5 linked regions of the Rattus norvegicus genome follow. The protein of the gene in region 2 interacts with the protein of the main gene of each other region in a biochemical or structural test. Links are inferred from orthologs where the notes say so. Each region holds a gene or a part of one and is shown on either strand. Other genes may lie near its edges.

What was found.
Region 1: of the proteins of Casp7 (region 2) and Rb1, one has a biochemical effect on the other in vitro, tested with the Homo sapiens proteins (2 studies listed by BioGRID). The link is inferred for Rattus norvegicus from reciprocal best matches to the Homo sapiens genes CASP7 and RB1.
Region 3: of the proteins of Casp7 (region 2) and Panx1, one has a biochemical effect on the other in vitro, tested with the Homo sapiens proteins (2 studies listed by IntAct). The link is inferred for Rattus norvegicus from reciprocal best matches to the Homo sapiens genes CASP7 and PANX1.
Region 4: the proteins of Casp7 (region 2) and Birc2 form a complex in vitro, tested with the Homo sapiens proteins (2 studies listed by BioGRID, with this or other methods). The link is inferred for Rattus norvegicus from reciprocal best matches to the Homo sapiens genes CASP7 and BIRC2.
Region 5: of the proteins of Casp7 (region 2) and Parp1, one has a biochemical effect on the other in vitro, tested with the Homo sapiens proteins (3 studies listed by BioGRID). The link is inferred for Rattus norvegicus from reciprocal best matches to the Homo sapiens genes CASP7 and PARP1.

Annotation. Positions count from the first base shown.
Region 1 is NC_086033.1:54,905,350-54,908,864, forward strand, and holds part of Rb1 (retinoblastoma-associated protein), read right to left. Parts: intron 2,894-3,515; coding exon 2,767-2,893; intron 1-2,766. UniProt on the Homo sapiens protein: Tumor suppressor that is a key regulator of the G1/S transition of the cell cycle. The hypophosphorylated form binds transcription regulators of the E2F family, preventing transcription of E2F-responsive genes.
Region 2 is NC_086019.1:265,470,147-265,473,661, reverse strand, and holds part of Casp7 (caspase-7), read right to left. Parts: intron 1,212-3,515; coding exon 1,075-1,211; intron 631-1,074; coding exon 502-630; intron 1-501. UniProt on the Homo sapiens protein: Thiol protease involved in different programmed cell death processes, such as apoptosis, pyroptosis or granzyme-mediated programmed cell death, by proteolytically cleaving target proteins.
Region 3 is NC_086026.1:20,168,393-20,172,680, forward strand, and holds the start of Panx1 (pannexin-1), read right to left. Parts: upstream 2,809-4,288; 5' UTR 2,375-2,808; coding exon 2,194-2,374; intron 1-2,193. UniProt on the Homo sapiens protein: Ion channel involved in a variety of physiological functions such as blood pressure regulation, apoptotic cell clearance and oogenesis.
Region 4 is NC_086026.1:13,261,526-13,265,040, forward strand, and holds part of Birc2 (baculoviral IAP repeat-containing protein 2), read right to left. Parts: intron 2,058-3,515; coding exon 1,979-2,057; intron 734-1,978; coding exon 685-733; intron 1-684. UniProt on the Homo sapiens protein: Multi-functional protein which regulates not only caspases and apoptosis, but also modulates inflammatory signaling and immunity, mitogenic kinase signaling, and cell proliferation, as well as cell invasion and metastasis.
Region 5 is NC_086031.1:94,856,470-94,859,984, reverse strand, and holds part of Parp1 (poly [ADP-ribose] polymerase 1), read right to left. Parts: intron 2,484-3,515; coding exon 2,343-2,483; intron 1,806-2,342; coding exon 1,566-1,805; intron 1,358-1,565; coding exon 1,289-1,357; intron 1,082-1,288; coding exon 949-1,081; intron 438-948; coding exon 242-437; intron 1-241. UniProt on the Homo sapiens protein: Poly-ADP-ribosyltransferase that mediates poly-ADP-ribosylation of proteins and plays a key role in DNA repair.

The sequences.
Region 1 (3,515 bases), on a different chromosome or scaffold from region 2:
CTAGAGCAGCAAAACTAGAGAAATGAAAGGGATACAAATGGAAGGGAAAGAAAGTATCTCTATTTGTCAGAGGCATGATCCTGTATTTTAAGGACTCCAGTAGAAAACTCTTAGATGTGATAAATACTTTCAACACAGCAGAATATAATGTCAACAGACAAAAATAAGTACCTTTCTACATACCAATAACTAACCTGCCAAGAAAAAAAAATCAGTAGGAAAAGATCCCATTGCTAACAGCTTCAAGAACATGGTGGCACATACCATAAATCCCAGCACTTAGAAGGCAGAGGCAGGATCTCTGTGATTCAAGGCTGCTTGGTCTACACAATGAGTTCTAGACCATTTAGAATTACAAAGCAAGATCTTGTTTTAAACAAACAAGACAAAAATATTAGCTTCAAAAAAGAAAATACCTGGGAATCAACATAACCAAAGTAGTAAAAGACCATTACAATGAAAACTTTAAAACCTTTAAGGAAGATTAAGAGGATAGTAGAAAATTAAAAAAACAAACAATAAACAAAAAAGTCTTATGTTCTTGGATTAGCAGAATTAATACTGTAAAAATAGTTACATTACCGAAAATATCTATGGAATTAATACAATGTCAGCCCTATTTCTTGTGACATTCTTGACAGAGCTAGGATGATGTCAGCTTGTAATATTAGCTTGAATTGCCAACTTGACACAGTGTAGCTAGCATCCCTGGGAAGGGAGTCTGCAGAAGTTATAGAGATCAGGTTGGTCTTGGACATAGCTGTGGCAAACTGTCTTGACTGCCTTAATTGTTGGGGAGACCCAGCATGAGAGTAGGCAGCACCATTCTAGGGGTTTTGCCTCTGAACTACAGAAGTAGGAATGGAGAAAGTTCTATGAGTACCGGGCATGCATGCATGCATGTATCCCTCTCTGCTCTTTACTGCAGATGTGATGTGACTAGTTGTTTTACGCTTCTGCCTCTTTGACTTCCCTATCATTACAGAGTATAATCTGGAATTCTGACTTAAAATAAAGCTCTCTCTCCTAAGTAGTTTTTGTCAGGATATGTTATCACAATAGAAATGAAACTAGAGTATGAGATGACAAAACATCGGGTTGGGGATTTAGCTCAGTGGTAGAGCGCTTGCCTAGCAAGCGCAAGGCCCTGGGTTCGGTCCCCAGCTCCGGAAAAAAAAAAAAAAAGAGATGACAAAACATCCTGAATAACGAAAGCAATCCTAAGCAGGTGATCAGAATAGTCGATTTCAAAGTATACTGTAAAACCATAGTAACAAAACTTTTATGATACTGGCATAAAAAATACACAGACGAACAAAGAGATTTCAGAATTAAACCTATACATTGATAGCCACCAAGTTGTTGACACTCAGAGAACAAAGTCTCTTCAAATAATGCTGAGGTAACTCAGCATCTACCTGCAAGAGATGTATAACTCAATCCATATCTTTTGCCCAATACCAGGCCAGTGTGACTTTAATGGGTAAAGGAACTTGTTAAGCCCAATAACCTAGGTTCAATTCTAGAACCCATATGGCAGAAGAACTGACTCCTGAAAGAGTTCCTCTGACCATAACACATGCACTGTGCATGAGAACATGTATGCACACACATTAGATAGATAGATAGATAGATAGATAGATAGATAGATAGATAGATTAGACAGACAGACAGACAGACAGACAGACAGACAGACAGACAGACAGACAGACATTAAAAATAATACAGGGCTGAGTGTAGTGGTACACACCTTTAATACCAAGCACCTTGGGAGGCAGAGGCATGCAGTTCTGTAAGTTAGAAGCCAGTCTGGTCTCCATAGTGAGTTTCAAGACAGACCAGGAAAAATATTTACTAACACATCAGATGGTATTAATATCTAAAACTGATGAAGAACCTCAAATTTTAAATATTATTAAAGAAAATCATTCACTCAAAAATTAGGCCAATGAACCAACTAAACACACAGTTCTCAGAAAAAAATATACATCTGAGCATTAAAAATTTGAAATGGAGAAATGCAATGTAAAACTGCTTTGAGATTCCATTTTGCCCAAGCAAGGCTAACATCAAAACAACAAATGTTAGCTAGTAAAGATGTGGGGAAAGAAGAGCCTAACATACTGCTGGTAGTAAGGTAGAGTAGTGCAACCACTATGCAAGTCAGTGTGAGGTTACATAAAACTACTACTCCGACACCAAAGAGGTACTACTCATGCATCCATGTTTCCTGTCATACTACTCACAGTAGCTACGAAATAGAACAAGTGTAGATGCCCCATGCACAGATAAAAAAAATCCAGTACACACACACGCACACGCACACGCACACACACACACACAAAGAATTTATTCAACCACAAAGAAAAATGAAATCATGTTATCTGTACAAAAATGAATGTAACTGGAGGTCATAGGTTGTATTAATCAAAATAAGCCAGACTAAAAAAAGACAAGTATCTCTCACCTATTGAAGATGCTAAATTTAAGTGTGTGTGTGTGTGTGTGTGTGTGTGTGTGTGTGTGTGTGTGTATGGTTATGAAAGTTGGAAGGCGGAGATGAGAGGAGAGGAAAAGACCTTCAAAGTGTAGGGGAAAGAATAATAGCACAGATGTGACACAAATGCAGGAGCAGCCATCTGGACGTGAAAGGGAACCAGCAAATGGAAGATAGAAGGATGGGAAAGAAGAGTGGGGGAGGAGATGAACAGAGAAAAAAATATCATCGGTACAGAACTGACTTTAAAACTTTAAAGACATCCTTACCAGGATTCCATCCACAGATGAAACTTTCTCCCACGTTAGCCAAGCTCTCTCTCTGACATGATCGGGCACCTTTAACTTCTGACATAATGCAATAAATTCAGGTTCTTCAATTTTTTCAAACTCAAGCCTACAAATTAAAAAGTTACAAAATTGATACATTTACAGTCAAACTTGTTTCTATAGTTTGCCTATATCAGCACAGTTTTGAAAGAGAACATCTCTAAGTGCTTTACAGTCTAACTTTATCTTTGAGAACCATTACACATCATTTAAACATATGCTTATCTTTTTTGTGGGCTTTCCAAAATGAGACAAAGTAAAGAACAGCTGCTAGCATGGGGAACCACATACATCCAGAGCAGCAGCGAGACAGCGTTGAGACAAAGCAAGGGCACTAGCTAAAGCATGCTGGGAAGACAGAACAACTGTCACAGCAAAAAAAAAAAAAAAAAAAAAAAAAGGAAAAAACCACACACACAATCCATACATTCTCTCCACCTTCTCCTATTTCTTAGATGATGATTAACTTTATACAAATGATTGCACCACATAGTTCTGTCCTATCTCTCTGACCTTTTTAACCATAAGCCCTTAATAGCTAATTCCTTTCACTTTGACATATAATAACAACACTATGAAGAGCAACTTAACTCTTGAAAATTTACTATTATCCTACACAAAATATCTTATGCATGGTTTTACTGAATCCCCACATCAGCCCTACTTGGTAAGTACTCCCACATCTACCA
Region 2 (3,515 bases):
AAGGGCATACGAGGTCTTCCTGTTTAGATCTGTGGTTAAGGAAAGCTGAGCCCCTGCTGTCTGCAGGTCGGTGTCTGGTGAGCGGTGGGATTCTACTTTTGCCTCAGGTGGGACAGTACCCCAGTGGCATCCTTTAAGGCACATCCAACTGTGGGCAGCCTGCACCATAGCACAGCTATGACTCAGGCTCACTACAAAGTGGGAAACTTACCTAAGTCTTCTCGGATTGACTTTGCAACTCTGCACAGTGCACGAGCATGAAGACATCAGTTAATGTCAAGGTTGGATAGGCCTGGTATACAGTAAACACACGTCTCCGGGAGGTGGGCATAGCTCCTGGAGTCTGGTCTGGTCCCTAATTTACTCTCCAGTCTCTCTCTCGCCCTGTCCAAAGTCCATCCACACGATTACAATGGGGTCTGCCTACGGCCGACATTCTGGAGCCCAGACCCTGTTCCTCTAGGTGCCGGGGTAGGCCGGGCCAGGACGGCTCGCACTCACCTCGTCTAAGCAGATCCTGCATCTTTGCGCAAGAGCAGTCATTATAGACGGTCACTTCAAAACCCAGGCTTCGGAAGCACTTGAAGAGGGCCTCTGCGTCTTTGTCCGTCCCATTCCGGACATCCATACCTGTGGGGGTGAGGCAAGGAGTGGGGTGAGCAATGCTGAGAACAGACTCTAGGCAGACCAGGTGCTGTGTGGGCTCCAGGAACAAAAACCCCTGAAGCAGAAGCACCTTTCAGGGTTACAGCTTAACCGCACACGGGAGAGACAGACTAGAGGCGAACTCCCAAGGACCCAGCCTCCACACAAGTGAGCGTCCTCGTGGTCTCGGGATGGCCAGTACTGGCTGCCAATGTCACATGATCTAGAACCACCCAAGAAAAAAGGCCATTTTATCCCAGCAACAGGACAGTAACTCAGACAGGCTCCTACATACACGGCAGGGTCTCAGACTGAGAATTCTCTGCACCTCTCTCTCCTGGACATGGAGAGCCTGGCACAGCTCTCTCTGAGGAATGTCTGTGGAGAAAGTGGGAGAGTCAGGAGAGGCTAGCCCTGCCCCGCACCCACCTGTCGCTTTGTCGAAGTTCTTGTTATTTATGATGATACATTTGCCCATCTTCTCGAAGTCCATACGGTACAGGTAAGTGGGCACGCGGTCCCGGGTGGTACTGACGGGGCACATAGAGGCATTTTTCTTCTTCTTCCTTGGGTTACAGAAAGTCAGTTAGAGGCTGTGGAAGCAGTCTGGGCAGCTGTGTACTCAGGGAAGCCACGGTATTTGTGAAACGAAGAGCCAAGGTGGGCAGACAGATGCTTCTGTTTAACTGTCATGTTTAAATGGAATAAGACTGCAGGGTAAATTTCAACAGACGTCAGAAAATGCAAATCCCAGTCACGATGTGCTGGCGCAGTTCGCTTCCCAGAGTGGCCACACTGAGAGAAATGGACGGCTCAGTGTCTGCCGTGAACTTGTCGGGCTGGTGGGGATCTATTGGGGTGTCCACTGTGTAAGGCTGGCAGAACACGCTAAGCTTACACAAACATGCTAAGTTTACACAAACACAAGCCGCACGGCAGAACAACTGCCTCGGGTCAGGCAAAGGTTTAGTAGAAGACAGGGCTACACTGTTCATCACATCCCGGATAGGGAATACACCCTCCCCGCCAGTCCTATCTACAGTAAGTGGCTGAACCAAGGAATATTCACGTAACAGGTAAAACAGAGACTGGATGAACCAAGACAGCATGAAGCACATGCATGAACATTACAAACAGAACCCAGCAAAGAGCTGATATACAAACGACTACACGCAGACTTAGGTGCCTCACGCTAAAAGTCTGGAGAAACCAGAGCAATGCCAACCCTATTCCTTTTTCCTTTATTTAAAACAAACAAACAAAAAAAGATGCGGTGTGTTTGAAGACAGCTACAGTGTCCTCACTCACATGAAATAAATAAATCTTTAAAAAATGCGTGATATGTGTATGTATGTGGTGCATACATGTGTGCATGCATGCGTTTGAGCATGCTCACCCGTGTGTACCCATGGATACCATCGACATTAGGTAAGTCCTCTGTGTTGCTTTTCACCCTTAAACCTTAAAGGCAGGTTCTCTCTATGAACACGGAGCCTGCTGTTTCAGCTGGACTGGCCCACAGTGAGCCACCCTGTATTCACCCGTCTCAACCGCCCACAGTGCCTGGGTTGAAGGCGCTTGCTGCCGTGTCTAACTTTTATGTGGGTGCTGGGACCTTGCTGCCGTGTCTAACTTTTATGTGGGTGCTGGGACCAGAGCTCAGATCCTTAGGCTGGCAAGCAAGCGCTTTACCCACCGAGCCACCTCTCCCACCCCGACACGTTTTGTATGGATTGGTGATGGTTACAGACATACGTCGGCAAAAATTCCCAGGTGCACATACCTTCTCTATGGATGGACATTTTAATGGCACTTAAATGGGGGCGGGGAGCACTGATTTTTAAAAGAACATTAACTTTTCCCCATTCCCCCAAACACCTACGGTACTGTTGAGCAAAGGCACACAGGGGCTTCACGGGATCAGGGCGCATTCCCAAGGCCAAGGGCACGTTCAGATCTGGCTGGGATGAGCCTCTCGGGGAGCCAGTCTCCTGGTGCGTGCTTCCTCCACATAGCACCTTGTTTGAACAAACACTGCCTTTGATACTGAAATCTAGGGTGGGCAGGGCTCTCTCACCTCTCCACTTGAATTGGGGAAGCTGGTGCACAATCCTTAAACAGGTCCCTGACCCTCTAACCCTCCACAAAGGCGGCTCTGGGCTGGCATTAGCTGGCATTCTCTGTGAGGCCTTGGAAAGAGCCAGGATGTGTAGAAAATGAGAGAAAACCTAAGGCGGGCAGGAAACTCAGCACTTCAGCTTCATTTTAGGGCACAACCCCTGAAGGCCATCGGTGGGCTGTGAGGTGGCAGGATGCCCCCAGGCTGGAGAACACTTTACTCAGGACACCCTTACGAGGCACAATTCAACTTCCACCTTCCCTGGTGAGAATTCCACGGTGAGGGGCTAGCCAGGTGGCTCAGTGGCGTGACCTGAGTTTCATCCCTGGACTCCAAGTGATGGAAGGTAAAAATCCAACTCTAGCAAGACATCCTCTGATCTCTACACGCATGTCACGGGCATGTGTATGCATGTACTCACACTCGCCCCTCCGCCAACAACTCCCCAACACCCCCCAATATGTTAAACGCATTTAAAACCCCTGCAATTTCTAGGATGACAGCCACGCCTCAGACAGGCTGTAGCTCTTATGTCATTAAGATCCCCAGGAATGTGCAAAACAAAACAAAACCAGCAAGAGTCTTTTGTAAGAAAAAAAAAGGGCTGGAGAAAATGTCTCATGGGAAATCAAAGGCCCCTGCTTCCATAAGAACAGAACCTGGAACATTACCTCGCCACTTAATAAAATAGTTAATTAATTCATTCGGTTAAAAAAAAAAAAGGAACGAGAGCTGGGGAGTAGAGGCACAC
Region 3 (4,288 bases), on a different chromosome or scaffold from region 2:
ACACCACACTGAGGGAAGTCAAGGCAGAAAATCAGGGCAGGAACCTGGAGGCAGGAACTGAAGCAGAGGCCATGGAGGGGTGCTGCTTACTGGCTTGCTGCTCATGGCTTTCTCCGTCTGCCTTCTTAACACCCCAGGACCACCAGCCAGAGGTGGCACTGTCCAGTGACCTGGGCCCTCCCACACCAATTATCAATGTGGTCGGGGTACTTTGTCGTTTGAGGTTACCTCTTCCTAATGATAGTGTCAAGTTTTCATAAAGCTGACCAGCACTCTGGGGCTATTACAACCCCCCCTTGTTTTATTTTACCCTCAATGTCACACAATTAAACTTCACAAGATCAACTATTGACCATGAACACTGACCTGACCTCCTAGGACTTCTGCTGCCTTCATCCACACACCTATCTTCCCCTTGAAACTCTGGAGCCCTTCAGAAGACAAGGGCATCTGCCTAAGAGTTTACTTAAGAGACAGCCAGGCCGGTGCCCAGAGTTCCCGCAGCTGCCTTATCCTGGAATCACAGAGGCAGCAGGGTGTCACCAGGTAGCAGACAGTACCTATCTGGATGGTAAAGTCTCACAGGTAGAGAGGACCATGCCTCAGAATCCTTCCTATCCCCCCACAGTGCACAGCAAGGCTCGCACACAGCAGAAGCAGAGCCTTGCCGGCTAAACCCACTTTCCATGCCTCCCTGCAAGATGCCTCTCACACAGCACATCCATCTGGACCTGCCCATCAGGTGCCTCAGAGCCCATCTAGTTGGGGACTTTACAGACAGTGATCAGCTGCTCCTTGCTGGCCCTCTGCCCGCCCAAGTGCCCACAGCTTGCTTCTCCAGCACAGGGACATTTATTCCTGGTTCAGCCCACAGAGAGAAGGCAGAAACTATCATCAGGATCCAAACGACTTTGCGGTTTTCCTTTCAGTAGGACGATCCCTGCCCAAGAACCAGGAAAACAGAGAACTCACTTTGCACCATTACTTCAGCAACTTCCACCTCACTGACCAACTCGGCCATACACGGCGCAGACTGTGCACGCCATGCCCTTTTCTAACCAAGTTTACCTCAATGCCCACCAGCCTGCTCATGTGGGAGTACTCTCTTCCCTCCACAGCCTGTTAACATCTCAGCGCCTGTTGCCCCTCATCTCTCAGAAGGATCCGTCATCTTCCTCCCTCTGCTCATCCCTCATGCATGTACAAGATCTGTCAAATGAATGCCCCAGTAGAGGCCCACCTCTCCCCTCCTACATCCAGAAGCTATGCATCCTCACCATTACTCATTGAATACTGTTGTCAGCCTGTCTGTCAGTCAATAACCTCCCAATCTCAGGCGAGTGTGCATGTGCCTTTCTCTGGTAATCTGACCCAGGCGCATACACCCTCAGCTTTCCAGAGAAAGCCCTCTACTTCTGGCCGACACAGTGCTTTGGGCCTCCTTTCCAGGAACATGTGTCATCTCAAGGTCTTGGAGACAGTCTCACCTGCGGTCACCCACACCTGACACAGGTGTTCTGCCCCAGCTGCAAATGCCGTTGACCCTCCTATACTACTTAGCTGCAATTCACACTCTCACTCAGGTTATGAAAGTTAGGATAAATAAGACCACTCACTCTGCCTAATGATCTTGACCAATGGAACTGCACATAACTATTAGGACGAAATGAGAGCTTATAGGAAGGGGACTGGGTCATTTCTTCATCTTTCATTCATTGTTGGGGACCACTCCTGCCTCCAGGGGCAGTTAGTCTCCAGCACACATAACCCTAAGACAGAACTCAAGTATCATTTAAAGGCAAGACAGTGAAACAGCACAGGTACGAGGAACGCTTGTCTTTACATTCTCCCTGGAACCACTCAGGAAATTACAGGTGACTGTACAATCACTGGAGAGAGGAGTAGGAAGAGCCGTTTCTTGACACATCTCGCGGCAACAGGCTGAACATAAACTCCAAGCCGCAATAATGGAGACAAAGGGACTGGAAGGGGATGCTAGGAGAGTCAACAGAGGTACCCAGGTTGCACATGGGCAAAAAAGGCTTCAGACTCAAATTCCGGTACGACCAGGGTGGCTACATTAGAAGGGTCATGTGGAAATGCCAGCTGTGTGCGATGAGATCTCTCAGCACCCCTCGTCAACCTCAGACAATGCCAGCCTAGCCTAGACTGCCCCTGCGCCCCCGGCCTCACCGATGGAGATCTCCTGAGCGAAGGCCAGCGAGATGAGCAGCAGAGGCAGACCCACGGCAATGCACGTGACCATCTTGTCCACTGCCAGCTCCAGTCGCAGCCCCTTGAACTTGGGCTCGGTGGGCTCCTTCAGCAAGAAGTCCGAGAACACGTACTCCGTGGCCAGGTGGGCGATGGCCATGGTCACGGCGCGCCGGGTGCCGCGGGACGGGCAGTCGAAGGCAGGCGCGGGTGCTGCGGGAAGCCGGGGAGAGGCGCCGAGTCCGCGCCGTCAACGACCCGGAGCGCGGCTTCCGGGCCGGCCCAGCATTGCACCGCCTTGGCAGTCGCTGCGCCTACCTCGCAGGGACCGCACGAGAGCTGCAGCCGCCTGGGATCGCTCCAAGCAACACAGGGCGCACGAGCCCCGAAGTCTTGGCGGCAGCGATCACACCCCGTGCTCAGCTCCCGCGGGTCCCCAGCGCGCGCGACACCAGGACTCCGGCCGCCTTGAGCGCGCAGGGACAACAACGTGCCGGGAACAAAGCTAGCTCTCCGCTACAGCTGCTCGCGCCTGCACTGCGCGCTCGGCTACGGGAACCGAGCTCTTCCGGAACCTACGCGGGGGAAACCGGGTTCCCAGGGGCGAGCAGTTTCCGGAAGCGCGCTGACGCCGGCGGAGTGGGCGCGGCCGCACCGCGACCCTAGAACCCGAACTAGCTAAGGATAGCCCCACCCTGTCTCCTGCGGACCGCCCCTCCCTGTGCTCTTCGCTCAAAGGATTTCAAAAAAAAAAAAAAAAAAAAAAAAAGACTTCAAGAAACAGCAGATGCCAGATAAAGATCGAGATAATCTTGCGGCGATGACCTAATGTTGTAGAGGGGGGCTGCACCTTTCCAGAGTTCCGTAAGGCAGACTCATGCCCTGCCCTTTACATTTTCCTCCACCTTCCCGCCCCAAGCAGTAGTCAGGGGGTCCTTGAGGCATACCAACTGGTGTGTTTAATGTGTTGAACTACAGTGAGCTCCTTCTGAATACCTCACTTACAGCAGACAATGAGGCATTCAAGAAATGTCCCAGCCATTTGCTGCAAATGGCCTTGGAAGGTGAAGTGCCCAGCATAGATGCCTTTGCTGGGCTGTGTGCATCAGCGGGGTCTAAGGAGGTAACCCCAAGGCCCACATACCTGTCTACTGGACTAATCCTCTAAAGACCATCAGAGACCTTCACAGCCTGGCTCTGGCAAAGCTCACACTCAAATCCTTGTCTCAAACCTCAACTACTGTCTTCTACATCTCCTTAACCATAGCTGTTGGCTCTGGTGCCCAAGGTAGAATCCATTTTTAGAGTTTCCATCACACTTGACAGCTGTGTCAACTAATTCTGAACTGATGTGCTTCTTTTTTCTAAATATAGTAGACTTGACAGCTCGTCACCTGCACAGCCAGCAACCAGCACCCAGTTTCCCCTTCCATCACTTAACTGCTTACAGAAGGCATCCTCCAGATCATCCAAACCGTTCTCCAAGTGGCTATGAAGTGTGGGGAGATAAAAAGTGGTATGCACATCTTTAGTTAATTTTATTCAAATGGTCCATAAATGAATCTCTTCCACCTTGAGTGGATTTTAAGTAGCCCAGTTCCCACTCCTGTCTGTTCTTCTCGAGGCATGTGGCATGGATTGGGATTGGGATGAGCAGGGCAATGTGGCCTGGAGGATGAGTCTGTTTAGGGCGGGCAGAACTGTGCTGAGTGTTTTCTAGGAACCAGTAAATCACAAACACACTTTCCCTTCTCTTTCTGCCAAGATCAACTCAACCAAGAGGAGAAATGGCCCCTGTGGGAAGCTTCTCATGACTCCTCCCCCAGTTGGGATGAGTCAGGCACTCTCTTGGTGCTCCTATACTGGCTAGTTTTATCAACTTGTGTTTGACACAAGCTGGGATTATCACAGAGAAAGGAACCTCCCTTGATAAACTGTTTTCCATGAGATCCAGCTGTAAGGCATTTTCTCAGTTAGTGATCAAGGGTGGGACTAGCCAGTATAGGGGCACCAAGAGAGTGCCTGACTCATCCCAACTAGGGGAGGAGTCATGAGAAGCTTCCCAAAGTGGCCA
Region 4 (3,515 bases), on a different chromosome or scaffold from region 2:
ACGGGCACTTACCACATACTCAGGTTCTCCTTCCTCTCACACATGACCCAGTGTCTTACCCACTGAGCACAGCTTCCATGACCAAGGCCCTATCTACTCTGCAGTGAAGGTTTCTATAACTTTTCTAGATCTTGGTCATCTTTCTCTGTACTGGCTGCAGAGCTGCCAACGCCTCTCTTCAAACGGTGAGCCAGAACCAGCTCTCCCCTTCTGAAATGATCAGCACTTAAAGTGACAGTTATTTAACCATAACACATGTAGATCACACGCACGCACGCACGCACGCACGCACCCGGAACTACTAAGATCTGGTTATATCCAGCTCTCATGCAGACCTTGCATTGCATCCTTATTCTATCTCCAGCCCCACCATCAATCACCTGCAGGCCAGCCTCTTCTAACACATTCTAGGCAAAGTGACTTTCTCTCTGGAGGTAAAGCTTTCATTTGGTACACCTCAAGCTTTTGTTTTCTGCATGTGTCTCATCACTTCATATGTCAGCTCTTTATATAATAATATATATTAAAGTCGTGAATCTCAGCAGAAACAATACATTTTCTAGTTAACGTCCCAAAATTTCCCCTATGACTTTAAAAGTACCACCACCCCTTTCTCTAATATACTTTCATTCTTAACGTTCTTACAAAAATTCACAGTTGTATTTAAACAATTTTCCTACTTACCTGGAGGGTCAGCATTTTCTTCTTCTGAGGTGTCTGAAGTGGACAACAGCTATGAGAGAAGAGAACACTCAGTAGGTAAACCAGAAATGTCACACCGTCTAGACAGCACTCGGGGATCTGCCTTGTAAGACAGGCCCTTAACTCTGCTGCTGAGCTTACCGACCACTCAGGGAAACCTTCCTGCCTCAGCTTTCCAAGTACCGGGATTACTGGAGTGAGCCACCGCAGCCCAGCAAACAGACATTTAAGCAAATGCACACATCCTTTTGGAAACTCCAGGTATGCTAGCATACTCCTGTAATTTCAGCACTTAGGAGTCTGAGACAAGATCAGGAGTTCAAGGCAGGCCTCAGCTACAAGAAACCCTGTCCCAAAACTCTAAAATAAATGCACACATATACTTTACTTTGTTTTGTACCACTGTGCTTACACTGTTATCTGCATCCAAGTGACAACCACAGTGTGGCTGCTATGTTAGAGAGCAGGAGAGCAGCAATGCCGCCTCCCTCCATCGGGAAAGTGACAGTTCGTTTGAGTAACTCTTCAAAGGTCTTAACTCCTAACAAGATTTTGATTTTGGATTTTTTTTTTTTTTATGGAAGAGACTAAAGAGACATTGAAGTTACCTCTTTAACCCCAGTTTAAAAAAAAAAACAAAAAACAAAAAACCTCTGTACAGTGGCAGGATATAAGTTTTTTTAAAGGAAAAGGAAAAGACAACATTTATAAAGAAAGACCCCTGAACAGCAAGCTAACAACAAAACTGTCAAGGATGCCATTACTGTGGCCCATGCCAAGGGACTTGAACTCCAGCTCTTTTTCCTTAAGTACAGTGCCTAAAATGCTATAAAAAAATTGTAAACTCAATTTTGCCTCAAAATTATATAAATAAAATAAAAATAAACATCACTTCAAAGATTTCTGTAATTATTACTTCATAGTATAATTCAATGCTATACTTTATTTGTATGTGTAGAGAGTATATGAACCTGTTCATATGGGTATATGCATCTATGTGTGCAAACATGGGTAGACAAAGGTAGACACGAGTGTCTTTTTTAAGACAAGATCTGTCTCATTCAACCTGGAACTCACTGAGTTATCTGGCCAGATTACCTGCCAGTGACCTCCAAGGGCTCACCGGTTTCCAACACCCTTGGGTTACTGATATATGCTGGTACACCCAGCTTCGTATGTGCTGCTGGGATCTGAATTCAGGGCCTCATACAGCAGTAAGAACTTTCCTAAATGAGCCACCTTCCCAGCTCTCATGTAAATTTTAAAATCAGTTTACCTGCTCAAGAAGATGAGGATATCTAGCTTGAATCTCATCAACAAACTCCTGACCCTTCATCCGTATCAAGAACTCACACCTAAAATGTGAAACAAAAACTATTTTAAAAGTATTTCATATCAAAAATAAACGATTATTCTAGATGACTGGCTTTCTCTTCATTATACCCACCAAAAAAGCGTTTATATCACAACCCAGCAGACATGTTTCTACCAGAAACCAAACTCTCACACACACACTCCTAGCTGTTGGTGCATTCCACTGTTTTGCTGTCTCATCCCACTTATACAAAACAAAAGGGAGGGGACATTGTGCACTTAGAAAGGAGCAAAAGTTGTCATGTGAAACACAGTGTTATAAACATTGTCTTTTTCATGCTTAACAAGATTTCAAAACCTATTAGTCATTATCCATTAACATTTTCATTGTTCATAACATAGTAAAACCCAATCCTGCTCCAGAGTTCAATACCCCACACTCCATCCAGGAAACCAATAGTCAAGTTATTTCCCCACCTATGTGGCCATGTTTCTCACAGATTTCACCTACCAAGACTTCTTGGAGGAAGTTCATGTAACATCTACCTCCATTCTACTCACTTTAGAAAAAATGCTGAACAACTGGATGTCTACATGCAAATTTTCTTTTTAAAGCACAAACCCATGACTTATGCTACATGCAAAAATAAACTAAGGATGAACTTTATCCTGAAATGTAAGAAAAGACCTTTTGTCCTTCCTTACGTCAGAATGTTCATCTAGACAGGAAGGCTGGAGAGAGAGCTCAATGCTCAAGTTGCTCTTAACAGAGCACCAGAGATCAGTTCCTAGCTCAGGAAGCTCACAACCTCTGGACCTCTAGCTCCAGGGGACTCAGTGTTTCTGGCCTTCTTGGGCCTACACTCGTGTGCACATTCCCACATGCAGTCACACACTGTGACAGATAGTTTTGTCAACTTGACATAAGCTAAAATCATCTGAGAGGAAGGAACGTCAATTGAAAAATGCCTCCCTAAAATCCAGTTGTACAGCATTTTTTATAATTAGTGACTTAATATAATGTCCCCAGTCCACTGTGAGTGGGAACAGCCTTGGGCTGGTGGTCCTAAATGCTATAAGAAAGCAGGCTAAGCAAGCCATGGGAGCAAACCAGCTCAGCAGCACTCCTATGGCCTCTGCATCAGCTCCTGCGTCCATGTTCCAGCCTGCTTGAGTGCCTGCCCTGACTTTTATGGTGAACTGTGAAAATAAAATAAATAAATCCTTTATTTGCTTTGACCTAAGTTGCTTTGGCCATGTGTTTCATCATAGCAATAGTAGACCTAACTCAGACATGTATGTCAGTAAATACAGTAAAAATAAATCTAAAGCAAAGGAGCCTGGAGCTCAGATACAGAACCTCTGCTTAGCATTCTGAAGCACGGGGGTTAATATTCAAAAACAGAACTTTTATACAAGGACCAAAACCATAATCCATAAAAGATAAAACTGATAAAATGTCATCATCAAAATTAAAGGCATTTGCTCTTCAAAAGATT
Region 5 (3,515 bases), on a different chromosome or scaffold from region 2:
TTTGTATTGTACTTGAGCTTGGTGTACAAACCTCATACACGGCCTGACTTACTAGTTAGGATTTTACGTTACAGAGATGGTGTTCAGCATATTCTTCTGATGTTCTTTGGTAACACTGGCCTCATGGAATGAGTTGGTTAAGTTTTCCTCCACTTTGGGGGGAAGAATTCGTCACCTGGTATTGTTAACTCTTCTTTAAACATATCTGTGGAGTTAAAGGAACAGACCTTACTGTGATTACCTGGCCATAGTCAATCTCCAGAGGGTAGAACTTCTTGGGATACTTTGTGAAGTTTTTCGAGTGCCAGGCATTTCCAGTCTTCTCTTCGTATAACTTCATGAAGTGTTCAACAGCATCCTCTTTGGACGGCATCTGCTCAAGCTTGTTACTGCCGATAACTGTGCCCACTCGGCCCCAGGACCGGAAGATCCAATACCTGTAAAGGGACAGAGACCAGGGTGAGCTTCTGTTCTGTTAGGCCCTCCTCCATAAGGGGCAGCATTAAAAGCACACTCTCTCCTTCATGTGTTGATTGAGTGGTGCTGCAGGTGGAACCCAGGGCCTCGAACACACTAGGCAAGCATCTATAACTGAGAGAGGATGTTTAAACTATAACCTTCATTCTAGTGATCAGCAAGTGTGGAATAGCATAAAACGATAAATTTGAAGTCAGGTGTGGTAGCGCACGCCTTTAATCACAGCATTTGGGAAGTAACAGGAAGGTGGGCCTCCGAGTTCGAGGCTAACAGAATAGCCCAGTGGATCAGTGGAGCTACACCCGTGATGGTTAAGCAAGGCAGCATAAGTGATACTCAGGAGTGGCTATTTTTTATGGAGGAACTTCAAACGCTATAGGCTTTTGTGACCGTTTCTCTTGCTCCAGGCCCTGCAGCGGCCTGACTTCCACAGGTGGGCAGCACACACTCAGTGTGGAGGCCCAGGCTCACCTGCTCTCCTTGTCGGACTCCAGAAGTTGCAGTTTGTAATAGGAGTTAGTCCCTTTCACAATGTCCACCAGGCCAAGCGTGGCACTGAACACCTTCCCGCCTTTCTCCAGGACATGTGCAGAGTGTTCCAGACCTGCCCCAGAGACAAAGCTCCTATGGTTTTCTCCCTTGAAGGGAGAGGGTGAACAGAGGCCTCATGTCCCCAGCTAGTTTCATGTCACAACACCTTTAGAGGTACCCACTGACCCTCATGCGTCCAGGACTGGCCTGCTCCCCTCTAGCTACCCTGACTAGAGACATCTCCTAATCTCCCAGGGCATGGGAGGCTCTGATCACTCACCAGAGTCAGGATCAACGGCTGCTCCTCCCTTCAGAGTTAGTTTCATCCTCTTTTCAGACTTGTTGACACCTTGGGAAGGAAGGGACAGAGGAACACAAAGACTCCACTTAGGCAAAGGCAGAACAGTTTCCAGAGGCATCTGTCATGGCACCTGCACACCACCTGTTGCCCCACAGGGCCTGCTGCTTTGTGTCCGCTCACTGAACTAAGGATACTGCTCGCCACAGCACCTTAGGGACACAGAACCAAGGTCACAGGTAGGGCAGGTGGGTCTCACCTTCCTCCTTGACAGCACCCTTGCTCTTCTTGGAGGGTGCAGCTGACTTCCCCTTGGGGACCACCACTTCACCAGGCTCTACCTTCACCTCAGCCCCCCACGAGGACAAGCTATGGGCTGAGAGCAGCTCTTGGAGGCTCTTAGCTGAGGCAGACACATCCTGGAGGAAGTCCTCACACACGACTCGAACATTGGCTGCTTTCACTTCCTCCATCTTCTTACTCATCTTCTCCACCTCCTCTGTTTACAACCAGACAGGGAGAAATGAAAACCTCAACCGATAAGCTGAACGGCTACCTTCCTACAGTCTGAGAAGGCCAACGACCCCATGACCAACAACTTCTCTCCCAAGCTGTACGCTGAACCTCATCTCAGCAGTCACGCTCCAGTGGTACTGGCTGTCCCTCTGGTCCACAAAGCCAAGGGTGGCCACCTTCTCTAAATCCTGAGTGTGGTGTCAGGAGGCACTCAGCAGAAATGGACTCTTAGGCCCAGACCATAACACTTAGCAGAACAGTCTTAATATAAATGTGGGTCTGGCATCCATCACCAGACCACAAAGTGGTAACCTCCGCCTGCCTACAAAGGAACCCAGGGTCATCCATGAACACTGAGCAGTGTAAGCTTATGGTCTGACTGGGACCAGGAGCCTGTGTGAACACACGGAATACAGTACAAATACCAGTTTTACCTACAAGCTACAGTGAGAAGTGTCTGACCCTAGCTGTGCCACAGAACCCTCACCACCTCTGAGAGGCACGCGCCCGTCAAACTTACTCTTAGTGCTGATACACAAGGAGGCCTTGTTGGCAGATCCTGTCAGCTTGCCTCCGAGTTTCTCAATCATGGCCTTTGCTTCGTCCTTGTTCTGGGAGAGCTTACCAAGAGTCAGGATCTTCATGTTAGACAGGGGTTTGTCTGGGGTAAGAGATCAGAAGCGTCAGGCTAAGACCATTCTACTGCGCTCTCAGGAAAGGATGAACAAAGGCAAGACAAAACAGCTGGCTCTTCAGGAGAGGTCAGAGTCTGGCCAGCCCTGGCCTTTACTCTTCTCTTAGGGAAAATCTTCTGAAGAAGACAGAAGCAGTAGGGAAACAGAAGGCAGAACAGCAAACCCAAGACCCCAACCCATGAGTGTGCAACAGAGAAAATGGGGTAGGGCATAGGCTACACAGAGAACAAATGGGTGATCCATGCTGGCTACCCTGGGCCTGCTCAGGGGCAGACTAGAAAGGCTGAATCTAGAGATGAGGCCAGAATGCTCAGAAGAAGGTGGGTGGTGAGAGCTCTGCGTCCTTCCATACTCTTCCTCCCAACTCCCGAGTAAGAAAGCACAAGCTGACCAAGCTGAAAGGTCTGATCAGTATGGCCACACTGAGTTAAGCACCAAGTACCCAGCACTGACTGCCAGGTTGGCATGGATGGATGGGCCTCTGTGAGTGAAACACAGCACTAGTTATAGTCAGGCCATGGCCTCTGCTTCAGATCTCACAACTGGGAGATCTAACTGCTCTTTCTAGGGGGTGGACAGTGAGGACACCACCTGCGTTCACTGAAGTCTCTGTAGAGAACAAAATCACTGATTTAGGTGTGAACTGCAAGCAAGGAGACAGCAGAGAAAGGGTCTGTCAAGGAGGAGCAGAAAGCAGGCTCTAACTGACCACATGTGTTTGCAGACCCCAGGATTCAAGCAGCGGAGAGGACTTGGGATAATGAGTTCACCATTAAGGGCAGACTAGGTGCAGCTGGGCTAGTGCCCAGAAGCAGAACCTTGTCCTCTGCCCACACCAGCATGGCCTCTACAGCCTTTAGGAGTGTCCACATGCCTGAAGGAGCAAGTAGCACTCTCCTTCCCAACAAGGCACAGTGATTCACTCTTATGTGGCCTCGGTCATGTCTATTCATGACCAGGGTCTCCCCAGGCTCTTGATGGTCGGTAGTGCAGGGAGG